Drosophila melanogaster: one gene and its partners. The protein of the gene in region 3 interacts with the protein of the main gene of each other region in a pairwise test. Each region holds a gene or a part of one and is shown on either strand. Other genes may lie near its edges. The genes, in order: CG11555, Parg and PolE2.

Region 1 (3,392 bases), on a different chromosome or scaffold from region 3:
TGGAATCGCAAATGGAGGCGAAGGTCTACATTGAAGGCCAGATAATGGCCACATTCGCCGCCAAAGACGAAGACCTGCCGGACATTCTGGCCCAGTTAATCTGCTACTACTATACCTTTAACATGATGTACCCTAAGGAAGCCAATCAAACACTCGAATTTATCGTCGTTTACTTTCTGCAGCACTCGCCGGAACAAGTGCGATCGGCCAAAAAGTCTGTGACCACCAACGGCAAGTTTAACCACCTCATCGCCAAGCTTGCCAATGTACATGGCTGAGATTTCATTTGGACGATTTTTGGCTGGAACCATGGCGCAGCGAGCGCCACTTCAATCTCCTCTTGCTCCTCCCAACGGAGGAGGAGCCGAACTCTGTTTAGTTTATTTATTTTCGCCGACCTATTCCACATGTATTTGTACCACTATTTTTAAGATTTGCATAAAGTGTGTAGTAATGTTGTGTATACATTTCTGATTTGTCACCCGACAAAGAATCTTTTATTTATTTTTTAATTGAAACTTCATGTTTTGCCAGTTGGGGTTGTGAAGTCACCTAAGGGAAAATAAGCTAAACTTATTCATTATGTGGCCCTTTCTGAAACGGATTTCTCCTATTTGGTCCCTTCTTTCGATAAGGATGTGCATTATCTCGCATTTTCTGAAAGGGATGGCTACCCTTTGCTTCTTTCGCATTTGATGATTTCACATTTCGACGTGTATGATTCGAACGTTCTAATTCGAACTTGTCCTTTGTCAGCTGTCTATATTTCAAGTCCTTTAGGGCAGATTTAAGTGTTGCATTCTTTTTCGTTAAATTGAAACCCAAAGTGAGTTGCTTTCGGAAAAAGTTCCGCTCCTTAAAAGTGAAGTTCTCAACGTCCGTGGAGAGCTGTTGTTTTCTTTCCGTGGAGGGCTTCTCATCGTTGAAGGGCTCCCATGTAGTATCCTGCGACCGGTTGGCTTCTATGACATTTCGACGGTGGTTCTTCTGACGCTGCTGCATGAACTGCCTTGCGTCCTCGCTGTCCACATCCTGGTGTCCCCGGTCCGAAGAATCCGTAATTATGTCGTTCTTCACATGCTGCCAGGGCGTCGCAGTAGCTTGTGGAACGAGCGCTGGTTTCGGTTGGACATACTTCTTTGGCTTGAACTTGGTTTTGCCCCAGTCCTTGGTGCGGCTCTGCAATTGACGTTCATGGCGATCATTATCTTCTGTTTTCTTCGGATTGGTAGAATTCATAGCGTTGTTATTTGTGGTTAAACTGAATATCGTCCATCTGACCATCTGAGGTGCCAGTTTGAGAAACTATCGAATCTAGCTATATATGTTAAATCTTATAAAAACCTTCCATTGGTCACTTCACATTTTAGTCCATTACATGTATTATGTCACATATTGTCACAGTATTATATATATATATTATATTATATATAAGGTATTCAAACTTAATATACATATAATGAATAGCAGTTTTGGCTTGAAAGAAGCCACTTCGGCAGTCCCACCAACAATCGGATCTTATCGATAACCCCAATCGGCTCAACACGTGCGCCGCAACTAGGCGGTTTTATAAATATTAACAATTCCATAATGCACAACAGTGGAGGACAATCCGGCTGGAACCTTTCAGGAGAGGAAAGAAAACCGTTTTCGAATTACGGCCGCAACAATCAGCAGAGGCGCAGCAGTGGAGGCGGGGGAAGAGGCAGCCACAGCCAAAATCGCGCCGCCAATGGAAACTGGCCAGACGCTGGATCGGAAGGTGGGCAGAATGGAAACGCGTTTAACAAGTTCAGAGATCCCCAACAGGAGCTGGATAATCATCAGCCAAACAAGAGAGGGGGCCGAAGAAATAGAGGCGGTGGCGGAGGAGGTGGTGGTTGGGGTGGCAGGCGAGGGAACCGCGGCAGAGATTCCAATAGGCGTGGTGGCCGTAACAACTCGTGGCAACCTAAGGATCAGCATGTTAGTCCTGGCCAAAGTAACATGCTGTACTTCGATAATGTGGGGGACTTTACCGAAGACCCACCTCTGCCTCGATCCTCGCCTGCTCCCTCCTCTCTCAGACAGGAGAGCCTGCCACCTGTTACTTTCGCTGCGGACTTGACGCCACCACCACCTGTATCTGTTGCACCACCTGATGTGGCTGTTACGCCAGAAGAACCTACTGTGCCGCTAATCAATATCAAGAAGGAGAAAGAAATGGAGCACAAGTCAAAAATAAAGCAATTTGTCAAAGCGGAGCCCAAATCTCCTAAAAAGAAGAAGGTTAACTCCTCTAGGTCGTCATCTACTTCGGGAGAGGAGTCTGAACCCGAACCAGGGGAAATGGTAGTCAACACTAAGGCAGTGGTGGTGCCGTCCCCAAAAGCGAAGGCCATCAAAACACCTGTAGCATCAACTCCGAAACCAAAGGCTGTAAAACCAGTTTCGTCCTCCGACTCCTCAACTTCGGACAGCGACACCGATGATGAACAGAGTCATCCGCCGGCAAAGAGTAAAAAGATGGAAAAGAACACCGAGGAGGATGTTGTCTGCATGGGCTCTCAGGAGCGCCAGTTTACCATTACCGATGAGGAGGAAAGCACCGAACCTGAAGACGACAAGAAGGCCAGAAAGCAAAAAAACAAGGGTAAAACCGTGGATGTGTGTGGCATATGCGACAAGAAGGTAAATATTTTAAAAGAATGTTACCCAATTTAAAAAAATCTCTTCCAGGGCCACACCTCCTTCCAGTGTCAGATGATATGTCGTAATTGCTCCGGTAGTTATCATGGTCTCAAAAACTGTCCAAACCCGCCCAATCTAAATATTGCCATCCAGTCGTTTGTGGAGTTTGCCATGCAGCAAATGACTGCCTTTCATTGCGAGCAAGGATTTGGATTTCCTGCTGGCACAGTCACAGCTCCAGTTTCAGCAAAACCCAAAAAGGACAAAAAGGCGTCAATAAAAAAGATAAAGAAGTCTTCACAGAAAAGGATGAAGGTGGAGCCGAAAGATCATGACGAAGAAGATGACGAGGAAGATGACGACGAAGATGAAGATGACAGCAGCGAGAGCGATGACTCGGAGTCCAGCGAAGAGCCTCACCCAGCTCCTGTGTCCAAACAGAAGCGGAAACGAGGCACCAAAGCCTCCGTATCGGCCGCAGCCAGTCTACCTCCTCAAGTGTTTCCATTTCCCCTTCTAGGCGCCCCGGGCGCCCCTTTTAACTCCATGATGTATTCTTATAGAGCTCCGTTTAATTTTTCTAAATAGTTATAGCGTGAGTTAGTTGTAAAGGAACGTGAAAGATAAATACATTTTCAATACCAATGGATTTAGTTCTTTCATTTTAATATTTACGGAATTTAGGAATTACGCCTCTGTTGTTTAAAACGAGAATGAAGTTG
Region 2 (5,080 bases), on a different chromosome or scaffold from region 3:
GCCAGCTATATTGGGCCTGCGAGAAGGACATTTACCGACTGACACGGCGCAACAAAAAGAGGACGGGCAATGATGAGGCTTGGATCAAGAAGACAACCACGGAACGTAAGTTGTTGAATCGAAATCCATTCCAACCAAAGACGATTGGAATTTCAAGCGATGTACACATGTACATCTATGCTATAGATCCATTGATATCGATATGATACCACCTGCTGTCTTTCCAGCTGATGGCTCCACCTGGCTGCACGTGAACTATGCCAACATGTTTCTGCGAAGTCGTCGATCGGATGGAAACACTCCATCGATATCGAACGAATGCTGCACCAAGGCGGGCTGCACCTGGGAGGAATACGCCGAGTATTGTCCATCCAACAAGCGACGCAATCACTACTGATTGGCCATCGACGTTGGATCTGCTTAGATATATATATATATATACGAACAAACAAATATATATTCGCTTTTTTTTTCGTGGTTGTTGTTGTTGATGTTCTTGTTGTGGTCAAATAAAATAAACAAAAGGTTTCGGTTAAATAAAAAGAAACTTTACTGGCTTTAACTACAAATTTCGCATAATAAAAGCTAGATTTGCATGATATAACAAATTATATTAATCAATCAATGTTATACAAATTTAACAGTAAAATTGTCTTTGCAGATTAGAATAGTATAATTAAAAAAAAAAAAAAAATTTCACTTTATTCGACTTACAATGATCCTACTTTAAAATGCCCTAAATATGTCCTTAAAGTTATCTACAATACATTTTATACCTCTTCAATTTTGGGGGCAGTAACAATCCTGTAGTGCAATATCACCTAGTCAACAATATCGTCCTTTTCGTCCTTGTCGGTCACATCGATCTCCTTACGACTCTTTGCTGAACCCTCAGCCTTGCTGCAGTTGGGTGATTTTCGTGGCCTCTTCGAGGCCGAACCCTTTTCATAATGGGTGTCCAGCATCTCGAGCAGGCTCAACTGGCGGCCACCTGAACCCATTGATTTCGTGGCTGTACTGCTCGTTTTGGACGTTGTGCTGCTGTTGCTTATTTCTACGCTGCTTTTAGCCTCCAGACTAGCGGCCTCCATCATGGCATTGGCCTCCTCATCGTCCGACAGCATAAGAAGGGCCTGATCTTCCGAAGAATTTGAGTTATCTTGCGATAATTGCGCGGGCAATAGATCGGTACTTTGTTGCGTTATGGTGATTTGCGGTCGGGCGGGTTGCTTGTTGAGTTCTGGCGAGGATTTCGCTGATGTTTCTGATTTTCCTTCGCCTAATCCAGCTACTCTAGAGCTTCCAGCTTCGGCGGATGCTCCCTCTCCGGGCACATCTCTGACCTTCTTAAGTTCCTCTTTAATAAAATCATATAGCTTCTTTTTGGATGCCTTATTCTCACGCGGCTCCTTGGAGCTCTTCTCCTTAATAAGCCTACTGTACGACCTTAAAATACTCCAAAGCTGCTGCACCGTAGTCCCGTCATTTCGAAACAACAGCCACATTTCATGAAAATCATCCCTAAACTCCACATTTCCAAAGGTATAGTAGGCCAAAGGTCTGCCCAACTGGGCGCAGACCATAAGTTGCAGCAGGGCTTTCAGATAGGAGTCACCGCCGAATGCGCCGCAACCCCAGTTACCAGTTGCCACACCCGGTGGCGGCGTCACCATCCAGTGAACAAATCCAATGTACGCCTTGTTCAGCTCCCTTTCCATGAGATCCTCGCGATATTGATGATGTGACTGGGCAAAATGTAGGGCATCGATTGCCACAATGGCCGTTTGTCGACGACCTGAGCTATCTCTTGGCGTTGAATCCTCAAAGTTGCCGGACCACTCGAAGCTTCCGGCATATCCCGTATAGTTACTATACCTTTCGGCGCCCAACATCACCAGGGCCTCGAATGGTCGCAGACACTCCGTAAAGAGTTTACCCACCAATAGCTCCGGACAGATAACAAAGCGTATCTCCTCCTGAACGCAGCCATGTCCCAAGACACCGCCACCCAAATATTTGTTGGCAAAGTCTACTTGCAGCAGTCCAATGCCCTCATCCTCGATTGTTCCCTCGGCATCCACGTGCAATGGCACATCACCCAACGGCGCCGCACTTTGGCTCCAGTCGATCAGATGTTCCGGCAATCCGCTCCGACGAACAAAGGTTACCACACCGGTGGGCACATTGCTGGCATCCCGCTCTGTGGGACACACGCGACGAAAATAGTGCATAATGCATTTAAGCTTCTCCAGAACTGCCGGTCCCGTCGATTGGTAAAGCCTTTTGATGGAATCGAATATATTTAACATACTTCGACTGAAGATATACGAATCTGGTGGACGCTCACCTGTTAAAGTTGATGTCTGGAAAAGTGCTGTACTCGGACTTCCTCTTGAGGGTGTTTCTCCGGGGAAAGGTGCACAGGAAGGCATTGGCCAACAGGCAGGAGATCTGCTGTTGGCTCAGGCTCAATGAGGCGTTCTTGTGGTGCTTGAGCAGCGGAACTGGCGATTGAATCAAGTCCGGTAGCCGCAATGCCAATCGGATAATGCGCGGCAATAGATCCTCGAAGAAAACCCGTGTTTCGCTCTCGTCCAGTTCCTCGTCGAGAAGTTGATGAAGGGCACGAAAGTGCCACTGATCCCTATAGGTGGTATTATATGATATTATCGCCGCCTGCAGTTCCTCACACGTCTTTATGGGCTGCAGAAGGGCTCGTTCGATCATTTCCCAGCGAAAATCGATGGTGGTGCTGCCATCCGGATTCTCCCTCGGATATTTCGACTCGGGCGCACAGGGCAGACGCACATGCTCGGAGTCCCACTTTCCCGGTGATTTGTAGGGGCGTGGCGGTGTTTCACGAATTGGCAGCTGGTACATAACCCGGTGGAGATTGCCGGCAGTCACTGGTGGCAAATTCTCCAATTCGAAAGGCTGCCGATTACGATGTATAGCCTCCATGGAAACTCCACGCCACGAATCATCTAGGGAGTTCGCCAGATTTTCCGGCTCCTCCTCCGTTTCTATTTCGGAAATCCCGCCATCCGGCGACTTCGACATCCTGGCGCAGTTTAAGCACAAAGCCTTGCCGAGTCGATTGGTCAGCACGGATGCACTTGCTCTGCGGCGATTTGCCGTAGATTGGTAAACCTTTTGGAATATCGGAAAAATCAAGTGTGACCTGAATTCTTGCATACCGGTGTTTTGGGGATGAGCGATAGCTGTGATGAATATCGCACTTTATAAATACCACACACTTCGATTGAAGCGTAGTGAATTGAAGCGTTTATATATCGAAATATATTCAAATATATGTTGGTATTCGTTTGAGAATGAATCAATAACAAATTCAAAATTGCATTGCCTTGAATTCGGCGGGCGAAAGTGTGACCATTACATGTGGTATTTTACCTCTCATTGTCGCTAGTATTTAAATACCAGCACGAGAAATACCAACACTGTGTCCGTTGCAATGCGAATTGCAAATATAACCGCCGAAGGAACAACAACAAACAAAAAGAAAAAAAAAACAAATCTTCCAGCAATTTGTCAACTATTTTCTCTAATTTTTTTTTAAAGTGTAAAACTATCATAACGAGCGCCAAGTTTTACGTTAAGTGAAAGGATTTTTTCCTGTCCTTCGTGCGGTAAAAATAATAGTGCATATTACCAAGGAAAATCAAGTTAAAGGCGTCTGCGAAACTTTTATAAATGTATTTAATACTCAAAAAGGTAAGAAGCGGCGGAAAGTAATTGCTGTTTTATGTTTTTATAATCACGTTTGGCAAGAAAATGTTATTTCGTTGACGTCAGTGGTCAAATCAAATTTTTTCAGTTTTTAACCCTTAATGTGGCACTGTCACTCGCACCTATGTATATATTTATGTGATTGTGGTATTTTGCTCAAGCTTACGTGTTGAAAAGAGGAAGAGAAACCGCTGCATACACGTGCAAAGACTCTGAGAATGGACACAAGAGAGCGAGAGAGGGAGAGAGAGAGAGCGCAGTTGTTTGTTTTGAAAGCGTCGCAAAAACAATACAAAAAAGGTCATACATAATTTGCACACACACTTGCATCTGAGGAAAACGCAAAAGCAAATTCACAGCTAGCTAAAAACCAAAATAAATATAATTTATGAAATGTACTTTTGCTAAAGTTCAACACACCTTTATCTCTCCGCGAAATTTGTTTGCACCATCTCTTTCTCTCCTTTTTGCGTAAACAAACGAAAAAGCTTTGCAAGGAGAAGCAAAAAAAAAAAACACAAAAACAAAAATCGAATTATCAGTAGAATTCTACAAAGAAGAGGCGTTTCTCTTCATCGCTCTTCGTACCTGAGCGTAGCCTTCAAATTTGCTTAGATTTCGCCTTGACCATAACCTAGAAATACTCGAAAAAAGTACTGTCAACTCTCAATAAGTTAAACGATCGATTTTCACATAAAGAGATAGAGAGAGAAAGAGACCAGATATTAAGTGAAATTTATTTTACTAAATAAATTTTCAGAAAAAGGTGTAAATCCCGAGCATTTAGATTTCGTTGATGAACTTTAACGCAATGGGAGTCTGCACTGTACATGTAGAGCTTTCTCTTTTCTCATTTGCGTCAGCGAAAATACTAGGAATAATCGGGGGTGGCGTTTCGGGGGTTGGCAAAAAAAACAAGCAACAACAAAAATGCATAGAGCCGAATAATCGCTTGGAAAAAGCGAGCGACGAAAACGCGATGTTAGTAAACTTTTCAAGGTCACCTCAAAAGCATGAACTTATACTAATCAACAGCTGAAAGAAGCAGAAGACTGCACTTCCATGAGTCAGTTTCAGAAATTAAACAAAACGAGGGAACCAAACCAATTTGAAAATTCAATTTACATATTTGTGGAAATTTCTGTTCTTTATTAATTAATATACAGATTTTAAAGAAATAATTCATTTTTGTATCCGAATTCTGATGCACTTCACACATAATTAAAGCAATGTTACCATAAATTATATGGTAGGCAGATTGTATTGTATGAAGAATAAAGTATGGAATAAGCATAAAATATAATAATATATGTATGTATAGAATAACATCAAT
Region 3 (3,997 bases):
ATTCGGCAACTGGTCATGTGACAGCAAATGGGGGCCATCGATGTCCTCAGGTCAAACGCATTATCAAAATTGCCGTTTCAGCTGCCGAGGAGTTGCGCGCCAGCCTGGGAAATTGAATTTCCACGACCCTAAGTGGCCGGCATCGGGCAGAGTAACAATATTTTTCCAAATCGGCTTTAAGTCATGAAAAGTAATAGACAACCCCCGGTCGCCGTAAAAAGCAGATTGCGAGGCGCGTCAGCCGCACAGCCAGGAGACGATTGTGGAACACATGCTGTGCGCATATGATGACTGACGACGGTGATGATGAGACTGGGCCGCTTATCACGAGGGAACAGCCACACGCACTGGGTGCCGAAAAATGTTTCGAGCTGGCGGGCCAAGCAACATGTGAGGTCGCAGTGAGCTAAGCTCCCGAAAGAAGTTTATATCCAAATTGTTAAATTGATGGTATTCTTTCTAAATATAGGCTTGCAGTTGTTTAAAACAAAAAAAAAATTGCCCAAATAGCCCGAAATCCAAAGAGTAATCGACATATGTAATTAAATAATTATTCAAACTTACGTTAAGGTTAACTATATCATAACTACTCCAATTCGTCCGGTATCTCCGAGTCCTCAATCGTTCGCGTCGCTGGTATATACACTTTGAATGCGAACTTGGACTTGACAAAGGAGCCGGTATTGAGAACAGTGCAGCCATGTTGACTGCTGCTAAAGCTCTGACACGAATCGCCCATGACAATCAGATCCGGCAGTGGATACAACCACAGAGCAGGATCGTAGTCCCAGTGCACTGGCATGGCAATCGGATGAATGGGCACCAAATGACCCTGGCACACAATCGTTCTGGCAAAATGCTGCTCGATCTGGGACGTGTCTTCAGGAAAATGCAAGGTGTTGCGACAAAACTTGGCCATCAAATCCAGACGGCAGACCACAATCTGCTGGGTGCAGTACTGCAGGCGACACGGATTCGTAGCCAACTGGGTGCGTGGCCAGGCCTTTAGCAGCCCGGCTGCCAGGCATTCGGGAATTGGAGCACGGGGCAGAATATTAGGTGCCGTGGGATCTTCGGACGAGGGAACGAGTATCAGATCCGTTTGCTTCTTCAGCTGCTCGCAGCCAGCTGCCAAGCCACCCAATGCATCCAGGTGATGCCTCAGTTCATGATGATTCCTTGTGCTGGCCGTGAAGGGACCCATGAGCACTATAGCCTGCGGCGGACAGGAATCATAGCCCACGAACAACTGGCGCAGCTTCTCCATGACAACCGGCAGATCCAACCGAACGTCGGAAAGGAAAACAATGGTTGTTTCCGTGTTGGTACGCTCCAGTTCCTGTAGTCCGGCTGAGTACTTCAGCAGCTTAGCAGATTCACCGCCCCAAGTGTTGGCGGTGCCGAAAAATGCTCGACTGCTGTTTGCCGGTTCCGCAGGTGGAAAGCCCAGGCCATCAACTGGGGAAACATAAGAAACTCTTGAGATGTAGTTATTAAATACTTTGGGCTACTTACCCTTGAGCACACCGTTGTTATAGTTGCCCTCGGCTAAAACAAAGCAGCCCTCGCAGAAGAAGCCGGCATGGAAACGGGCTCCAGTGAGATCTAACTGGACGCAACCCGTGGGATCCTCGACATAGAACTTGCCCTCTTTAAGCTGGGTAAGTAGCCCCAAAACAACTGCCTCCTTCATCGCCGACGTGGCCAGCAGGTTCTCCGCGAACTGGAGCTTAAATTTCTTGGCCTGGGCCTCGGCCCCAACGCCATCCTGTATGACGGCTGGGGCAAAGAGATCGTGTCGCAGAGTTTTCTGTAGTAACATGGCATATCGTTGCTGCATGTAGTCCGATTTCATGCGCGGGGCGGTCAGCAACTGGCGCGGCTGAGTGTCCAGTTCGAATTTCTTTATCCGCTGGTTGTACCGAAAACGGGGCACCGTAAAGGCATCGATCAGGGCAAAGACCGTCTCCCCTTCATCCAATCCCACCCGGTTAAGTTCATTGATGGCCTTCTCCAGGGCGGCTCGCTCCACATGAGGCGTCAAAAGCTTTTGGCTTTGGAGATTCTCGGTGATCACCGTCAGCCATTTGTCCCGTTCCGCTGCGTCAAAGGGTAGCAGCTGCTCCGCCAGGTAGGAACTGTTCTCCGAGCGGATCAGGAATCCACATAGCTTGAAGGTGTTTGTTATTCGCTTTCTCAGCGGCAGTAAATCCACATCCATTGTTATTAAAAGTTTTTTCGCGCGCAAATTAGATATGGATGTTGTCAATTATCGATATCTATGTGCATTTGTGTGACCAGCCGAACATGAAGCTAAAATAGAAGGCCTAGAAAGTAATCGAAAATTGGCGGAAAAAAGTGGAGTTCAAAAAGTTGATATTTGAATGGTTTATTCAAAATAACATATATTTAACTATTTAAGGTTCAAAAAGAGGGCTTTAAAGAAGTTGGCTTTTGTTTAGTACATATTTATAATATTAAATGTCGAAATGCCCCCCAGAGATTGTGAAAAGTATGAGAACTTCTTGCTGTTCATTGGGGACTTTGGCCCCTTTCAGAAGCGACTGCTGTTTTGGATGATGCCCGCCGCCTTTCTGTTCGCATTCACCTACTTTGGTCAGATATTTATGATACTGTTGCCAAAGAATCACTGGTGCAGAGTACGAGAACTAGAGGGACTGCCGGAAAGTGAACAAAAGAATCGGGGAATCCCCAAAAAGCAAGATGGCAGTTTCGAGAATTGTTTTATGTACAATGTGCCCTACGACTCAAATGCGACCAACGATGCGAATCAGACAAGGAGCCCGATACCTTGCAACAATGGTTGGATCTATGATCGCAAGGAGGTGCCCTACGAGTCCATCGCTACCGAGTACAATTGGGTGTGCGACAAAAGGGATTTCGGGACATATAGCGTCGTTGTCTACTTTGTGGGCTGTATTGTTGGTTGCCTCTGCTTTGGATTCATAACCGATCATTCCGGTCGCTTGCCTGCACTATTTCTGGCCAACTCCTGTTCCATGATCGGCGGTTGCGTAAGTGTGGTCTGCAAGGACTTTCCCTGCTTTGCTGCCAGCCGATTTGTGGCTGGACTGTCAATGAACTACTGCTTCGTTCCCATTTATATTCTAAGTGAGTGTTGCAGAGTCAATTAACATAAATCATAAATTTAAATATCATCATCACATTCTTTTCAACAGCTTTGGAGAACGTTGGCATCAAGTATCGCACACTGGTGGGGAACTTAGCCCTCACATTCTTCTTCACCTTGGGCGCCTGCTTGCTTCCCTGGCTGGCCTATGTCATCAGTAATTGGAGGCACTATGCCATGGTCGTTGCCCTGCCAATTGTATTCATGATATTGACCAGCTTGCTGGCTCCAGAGTCACCAAGGTAAATTAATGATAACAATAGGTTTTCAAGCTATCTAAACTTCATTTCCCACTGCAGTTGGCTTATGTCGGTGGGTAAAGTGGACCGGTGTATTGAAGTCATGAAAGAAGCGGCCAAAGCCAATGGAAAAATCATTTCCGAAGAGGTTTGGTCCGAGATGCGGGAATGCTATGAACTTAAATTTGCCAACGAGCAATTGGGAAAGCAGTACACCAGTCTGGATCTCTTTAAGACATTTCCCAGGCTCGTCGTCTTAACGATTTTGATTGTCACATGGATGACTGTGGCCCTAGCATACGATGCCCATGTTCGCGTAGTCGAAATCCTGGACACAGATATATTTATAACCTTTTCCCTTTCCTCGCTCGTTGAAATTCCTGCTGGAATCGTACCAATGCTTTTGCTAGATCGAATTGGTCGCAAGCCCATGATGTCGGCTGTCATGCTATTGTGTGCAGCATCCAGTCTCTTCGTTGGTATTCTAAAAGGACATTGGAATGCATCAACGGCAGCGATTGCAGCCAGATTTTTCGCCACAATGGCCTACAATGTGGGTCAACAGTGGGCCTCTGAGATACTGCCAACCGTGCTGCGCGGTCAGGGA

Evidence for each region.
Region 1: the proteins of PolE2 (region 3) and CG11555 interact in a two-hybrid assay, tested with the Drosophila melanogaster proteins (one large-scale study listed by BioGRID).
Region 2: the proteins of PolE2 (region 3) and Parg interact in a two-hybrid assay, tested with the Drosophila melanogaster proteins (one large-scale study listed by BioGRID).

The regions. Positions count from the first base shown.
Region 1 is NT_033779.5:271,833-275,224, reverse strand, and holds CG11555 (uncharacterized protein), read right to left. Parts: upstream 1,390-3,392; 5' UTR 1,240-1,389; coding exon 574-1,239; 3' UTR 531-573; downstream 1-530. Other genes in the region: CG17078 (uncharacterized protein), read left to right, coding at 1-278; mbm (mushroom body miniature), read left to right, coding at 1,591-2,670, 2,719-3,258.
Region 2 is NC_004354.4:3,668,308-3,673,387, forward strand, and holds Parg (Poly(ADP-ribose) glycohydrolase), read right to left. Parts: upstream 3,196-5,080; 5' UTR 3,061-3,195; coding exon 2,348-3,060; intron 2,281-2,347; coding exon 822-2,280; 3' UTR 530-821; downstream 1-529. Other genes in the region: Ilp7 (Insulin-like peptide 7), read left to right, coding at 1-105, 228-397.
Region 3 is NT_037436.4:5,895,159-5,899,155, forward strand, and holds PolE2 (DNA polymerase epsilon subunit 2), read right to left. Parts: upstream 2,278-3,997; 5' UTR 2,222-2,277; coding exon 1,516-2,221; intron 1,459-1,515; coding exon 587-1,458; 3' UTR 533-586; downstream 1-532. Other genes in the region: CG5592 (uncharacterized protein), read left to right, coding at 2,490-3,132, 3,201-3,393, 3,451-3,997. UniProt on the Drosophila melanogaster protein: Accessory component of the DNA polymerase epsilon complex. Participates in DNA repair and in chromosomal DNA replication. Has a role in the entrance and progression through S phase. Has a role in endoreplication. Essential for viability and tissue development.